Linked DNA regions of Nothobranchius furzeri. The protein of the gene in region 2 purifies or fractionates together with the protein of the main gene of each other region. This does not show direct contact. Links are inferred from orthologs where the notes say so. Each region holds a gene or a part of one and is shown on either strand. Other genes may lie near its edges.

Evidence for each region.
Region 1: the proteins of nasp (region 2) and hat1 purify together in Homo sapiens (affinity purification with mass spectrometry; 3 studies listed by BioGRID and IntAct, with this or other methods). This does not show direct contact. The link is inferred for Nothobranchius furzeri from reciprocal best matches to the Homo sapiens genes NASP and HAT1.

The regions. Positions count from the first base shown.
Region 1 is NC_091754.1:20,781,717-20,785,540, reverse strand, and holds part of hat1 (histone acetyltransferase type B catalytic subunit), read right to left. Parts: intron 1,168-3,824; coding exon 991-1,167; intron 915-990; coding exon 793-914; intron 248-792; coding exon 143-247; intron 1-142. UniProt on the Homo sapiens protein: Histone acetyltransferase that plays a role in different biological processes including cell cycle progression, glucose metabolism, histone production or DNA damage repair. Coordinates histone production and acetylation via H4 promoter binding.
Region 2 is NC_091748.1:71,312,210-71,314,934, forward strand, and holds part of nasp (nuclear autoantigenic sperm protein), read left to right. Parts: intron 1-521; coding exon 522-878; intron 879-1,060; coding exon 1,061-1,119; intron 1,120-1,191; coding exon 1,192-1,262; intron 1,263-1,346; coding exon 1,347-1,420; intron 1,421-1,490; coding exon 1,491-1,679; intron 1,680-1,757; coding exon 1,758-1,930; intron 1,931-2,725. UniProt on the Homo sapiens protein: Component of the histone chaperone network. Binds and stabilizes histone H3-H4 not bound to chromatin to maintain a soluble reservoir and modulate degradation by chaperone-mediated autophagy.

The DNA.
Region 1 (3,824 bases), on a different chromosome or scaffold from region 2:
TGAAACAAAATCTGCTTCAATGGTTGGCTATATAAGCCAGTAATTTGGGCTTTTGGGGGGAAAAGGGATAAAGAAATGTATAATTTTCCACTCCTTTTCTTATACAAAAGAATGGGAAGGCACGTGCTGCCCCAGCAATTACCTTACACGTGGTCTGGTTTTGTCTGGGTACACGTAGTAATTATAAACGGTCATGTAGCCAACAGTTGCGTAGAGAGTCTCCCCGTCTTTATTGTACTTTTCAAATCTGCAGATGAAACACAAAGGCAAACAGGTCAATTACAGGCACACTCCCATGCAGTGTCCGTTTTAGCTTCTCTGTTCTCGTGCCCCCCTCGTCAGGAGCAGCCAGGGCCCGATTGGTACACCTGCTACAACATGAATACATTATGCACTTAATTGGAGTACTGCAACTTAGAGGAAGAGAAGGGCTTGGAGGAGGGTTTGAGCTCCTCAACATCACTTCAGTCCATTTTGCCTATTGTGACTATTAATAAGTGCCAGGGTAAAGAAAACACTGGCAGAGGCTCTTTTTACTGTTAGGACATTGTTCAGTGTTTCAAAAGACAACAGTATTCAATTCAACTCTTGCCCCAGAAAAATCTGAAAGGGGCTCTGGGCACAAAGAAAGCTCTTGCCTGATCAACAATTCTCCTACATGGGGAAATATAATCAAACCGGCCTGGTAATTGGTCACAAGCGCCTCAAAGGGGGGCTTTGTTTTTCAATGACACAATAAAAGGCTTTAAGGGTAAAGCTGGGGGGTTAGTGTCAATTAAGGAGGCTACTCACACGAGAAAGTAGTCCCAACGATCGTCGTCTGTGTCGATGAAGCTGGCGGTCTCGATGAACCACATGAGGAAGGTCTGCAGGCGCTCGTGGTACTCTTGGAATCCAGGGCAGGTGATGTCAGCCTGGGCCCAGTTTAATAAAACCGTTTACGTCTTCCTCTGATGAGTTGGTGAGATTATGAGCGTGGTTTGCGCGTACCTTGTGAATCTGGTAGGTGAGTTCTCCGGCCTCCTCATTGTGGATCGTGTACGAGTGAAGCAGGGTGCCGAAGGGCTTGAACTTGGCCTCCTTCTCCAACAGCGAGATGAAGTCATCCGTGCTGGAGGTGAAACCAGCTGGGATTATTTCCCGGATTTTCCCTCCGACATCATCCGGCTGGATGAAAACAATAAAGCTGGACTCATTAACTTGAAAACACCAGCAGGAAATTTTAGTCTTTCTGTTTTTTGTTTGGCCAAAGCGGCAAAAAAAAACTCAAAGCACACGTTTTTAGAGACGCTGAAAAGAAAACCATTAGGCAATTAAAACTGTCAGCTGAGCAAAGTCCTCGGCACCTCCCCACCCCGACAAGGCCACTTAAATCTGTACATTTACCACTTAGATTGAACCATGAATATGTGATGAAGTTGCCTCAATAAACACATTTCTGCTTCTCACTGAGAAGAAAAAAAAATCTTATGAATTGATTTCAGCTTAACAAACCTTTGGGCATCCATAATAAGAGGCCTCTCCTCTAATCCTGCCAAGTGAACCCAATCAAATGAATCTGGCCCCCGCGTTTTTCAAAGGGCCTCGGAGACAAAGGGGCCCTTCCCCTGGACTTTTTACTCGGTAGAACGTGTGGTTAGTTCAGCTGTAATGTTTGCATTGTATCCATTTCCACAAGGATTGACATGAGAACACTTTGCTAAGCAGCCCTTTCACACCATTTACATGTGTGATGGGCATTATGGGAGCACAGAGACCCTCACTGCTCCGCATTGAAAACTGGGAAATGAAGAAGGTCTGAGCAAAATGCACTACAAAAGGCTAATACAACATACTGCTAATTCCCCCCTTTCAGACATCAGCTAATATCTAACTGGAAGTAATGCACCTGCAGCTGAATGCCTCTTAACTATTGTAATTGTTCAGCCACATTTCTGGAGAACAAGGACCACACTTAAAAGGCCATGGACAAACAAGTCGCTTTGTCCCAACCACTCTCCTGCATACTAGATGCTGAATTGCATGGCCTTCCAGAATGGATGCTTCACTTTGCCGTGAATATAACTCAACAATGCTCCTTGGCAGCAGTCAGTTGATGTCTTTGATTTTCCAACAATAAGCATAAACTATCTAATTAGTTGTTAGTTGTCTAATTTGTGTTTTTTTTAACTCTTCAATCAACTATAAGGGCCGTCTTAGAGCTTGTAAGTTTAAACTCTTCAGGTTAAATCTGTGCAAAAATGATGAATTAAACTACAAGTTTGTAGCTCAAACAAACTAAAAACAATCAACTAATTGGGTTTTCTGGAAAACGTCCAGCATTGTGGTGTTTTTGCCCAATTTAAAGAGGAGAAGGTGAGTTCTGGTCGCCGTCGTGCATGAATGTAGCAGCTGCATCAACTCCAGCTCGGCCTCCCGTCATCCCTTCGCCAGCTGCACCGCACCACGACCGTCCACACGCACTCAGAGACAAACGCTCTTCAGACGAAGCCCGAACTGTGCCGCTCTGCCTGCCCGACAGCTGCACTCAAACCCTTAACAAGGTGAACCCACACTCATGGGGTCAACGGTCAACTCTGAGCAGTGGTGCACACTGACACTGCGTTTCGGGTTCATTGTTGGCTCTAAGCTGTGCTGCCCAAAGAAGAGGAGCGGCTCTTTTCATGTTTAATAAAGTGCTGTTTGTTGATGTATTTATGTCCTTTTTCTAAATCTAATTAAGGGACATTTAGAAAAATAATTCAGTATAATAGTCGTAAATATCTTATTCGCTGTAGATTTGCTTCCAGACACCGTTTGTTTGGCTAATTTGTGTTTACATCCAGCAGAATTATGAGCTTATTTGAGAGCAAAATTTCAAGCCAAAAAACTGTTTTGTTTCTTCAACACCAAAAACTGACAAGTTGAAGAAAAAAAGAGATTTCTTTGCACCAAGTGAAGTGCCAGAGCTCGTGTAGACACAGGCCATCCACCATATTTACAACCTGTCACACAGACACTCTTATGCTGGGCGAGTGGACAAATTAATCGACCGTCAACGATGGACTGGGTCCTTTGCTGAACTTTTTTTTAAGAGCATCATTTTATATGCCTATGTATTAGGTAGGGCTGCTCGATTATGGCAAAAATAATAATCACGATTGTTGTGACTGAAATTGAGATCTCGATTATTTAAGATGATTTTTCAATTTATGTTGATTTTATTTGTTTTTATTCAGTCATAAAACTGCTCAGGGCACAATCAGTCACTAAAATAACTCCTGATTCCCAGTATAAAAAGACCAATATACTTATAGCTCATAGTCTATGACCCAAGGGCTATAAACCTTGGTTTAACTCATTTAAGTCTAACCAGTACAGACCCAAATACCAATATCTTGCAAATACTGACAGCAAGAATTATACAGTGGCATTTATAACAAATACATGCAAATTGCTGTTCACTAAATGTTGCATAGCATTTATTTAGTCGTGTCAAGGTGCTGTAGGAGCGTGCACTAGCACCGTGTCCTCAGAGAGATTAGTTATCAGTGTGAGGAACTTATTTCTATCTATTTCTACCTTATTTATAAACTATTTATTTACAAGTCCATCAGTTAATGTAATAATTGTCCCAACCACAGCTGCACACACACACCCCAACCCAGTCTCACAGCAATCAGGAGCAACCTGCACGTGTGTTTAGCGCGCCGCACGCGCACATTTAGCAGTTTTTAGCGGCTCAGGAGCCCGCAGGTACGGAGTGTGTCACTCACTCTGGTTAACCCAACAGAGCCGACTCTGGGAGCCGTGTCTTTAGCGACTAACACATCACTACATCATTC
Region 2 (2,725 bases):
CGTGGATTCTCGCACGAGTGGAAAATCAGCTCAAAAAAGTGAGAAAGTCGCACAGTGTACGCCTGGCTTGCCACTAAAAGGTTAGCCAACCTGAAATAAAAGAGCTGGGGGCCTCCGGGCTTGTTAAAGGTTTTTGTTTGGTTTGCTGTGTAATATGAGGCGGGCAGCACAAGGTCATGCTGATTGCCTCAGCTCTGGCTAAATCCTCCAGTATGAAAAGTCTGACTTTTAGAACTACATGGGTCATAACCTAAAGGAAGATGTATTTTCTTTTTTTTGTCTGCCAGCTCATTTAAAGCCTTAGCTTTGATCTATCGAGCTGTGTTTAGAGTAGCAAAACACTTCCTGTCCCCGTTTGAGTTTTGCACAACTGCAGTCATGTGGGGGAAACCCAGCGATTGTTTTCTGATTAAAATTGGGGCATTCAGGCTTCAGCCCTGTTGCCGGCGCAGTACAACTGACCTTTTGTGTATTTGTATTAAACTGATGTCAGATGATCAATATGTGCAACTCTGGTGCAGAGGAAACCAGAGCAGAGCTGCGGAAGCAGGTCTATGACTCGATGGCAGAAGAGGCAAATATGGAGGCAGTTGGCCTAAAGCTGGAGTCCAAAGACGTGACGAGCAGCAGCCAGGTGGAGGAAGAGGCTGGTTCTGATGAACACGGCCTGACTGGATCTGAAGAGCCTTCAGGCTCCAGTGAAAATGAGGCCAAGAGTTCAGTCCAGCCGGGCTCGGATGCTTCTGCACAGGATGTGGGTGAAGAGTCTGAAGGACCTAACGCCAGAGAAGACCAAACCGAACCAGAAAAGCAAAACGATGCGGTATCTGTGGAGATGAAAGATGAGGAGTCTGATCCGGAGGCTGAAGAAGACGAGGGTAGTAGATCTATGGATACAGAGCACAGGGGTGGATGGGTCGGGCTGAACACTGGTTAATGCAGGTCAGGCGGTGAAGTAAAGGGACACGCTGAAGCACTTGGGTGGATCTGTTTCCTAGTTTAAGCGTTCCCTTTATCCTATGTGTCCCAGAGTTAAAACCGTCTTTGTGTGTATTTTCAGATGATGATGATGATGACGACGAGGACGAAGAGGATGGAGAGAAAGCTGCTCAGGATGATGTCCGTTCCTCTGTGCTCCGTAGTGGTGGTTGGTTTGTTGTGTTGGTTGTAAACCTGGTCTTTACCCTGCAGGAGGAAGACGAGGTCGGGAACTTGCAGCTGGCGTGGGAGATGCTGGAGGTCGCCAAAGTCATCTTTAAACGGTGCGTGTTAATGCTGCGATGGATTTTAAAATTCCACGTGCAGCGTTTATTTGTCCTGCTCGCTAATCCTCTTCCCGTCTGCAGAAAGGAGAGCAAAGACGAGCAGCTGATGGCAGCCCAGGCTTATCTGAAACTTGGAGAAGTCAGCGCTGAATCCGGTGAGATTTGTAGTTCCAGAGCAGACTGTTTTTGGGTTTTAGTCCGGATCTGACCAGATTGTGTCCCCAGGGAACTATCCTCAGGCCCTAGTGGACTTCCAGGACTGTCTCGCCCTGCAGCTGACGCACTTGCCCCCCCACAGTCGCCTGCTGGCTGAGACCCACTACCATATCGCCACGACGTTTTGCTACATGGGCCACTACAGCCATGCCATTCAACACTACAACAGCTCCATAAAAGTCATAGAGACCCGTCTGGGTAGGACTCGCGCTTCCTCGTGAGGATTTCTATGATCAGAGCTCCTGTTTGAGGCCGTCCACGTTTCTTTGTGTGCAGCCATGTTGCAGGAGATCATTGACGCAGCAGAAGGAGCTGACGGTGCAACAGAAGAGAAGAAGGAGATGGAAGAGCTCAATCAGCTTCTACCGGACATCAGAGAGAGGGTGGTAGATGCCAAGGAGAGCATGAGAACAGCCAGCGCTGCCTCGCAGGCCATTCAGCAGACCCTAGTGAGTACAAACGGGTTAAAGCGGGGTTTGTCATGTAGCGGCGTGCCCTTCCTGTAGGAGCATGAGGGGTGGTCTGGCACGAGAGGCAGGAGAATCTGGGTAGCATCTTTTTGTGTGCTGGAACATTAAACCCCTCTGGTCACTAGGTGGCAGCAGCAAGGTCAGTCGCATTTATTTCTAAAGCACTTATTATTGCTTCTGCAACCCAAAGTGCTGTACAACACAAGATGAATCGCGAACAAGTATAACTAAAAACCATAAAAATCAGCAAGTTGAGATAAAAACAGCGTTGCATCAAAGAGAATGACGATTACAAAATAAACATCTTACATAAAAGCCGGGTTGAATAAATGAGTTTTAAGCAAGGACTTGAAGACATCCAGACTTTGTGAGGTCCTGATCTGCAGAGGAAGACCGTTCCAGAGTGGGACCGGCCACAGAAAAAGCCCCGTCTCCTCTCGTCTTTAGGCGAGCCGTTGGAACCGATGACTAAAACTGAGAGCCCGACGCAAATTCCTGGCAGGAGTGTAGGGTGACCATAAATCATCCGTATAAGGAGGGGCCAGACCATGAAGCGACCATTTAAACTGAATCCTGCAATGCACTGGCAGCCAGTGAAGGGAAGCAAGCACTGGAGAGATGTGATCGTGCTTCCTTGCATTTTGAACCAGTTGCAAGCAGTTTAAGGCGGAATGCCCTAATCCATAGTACAGGGAATTGCAGTAATCTAGTCGACAGGAGACGAAGGGATGAATAACATGTTCAAAGACCGTTTCCGGCAAATAGCACTTAAGC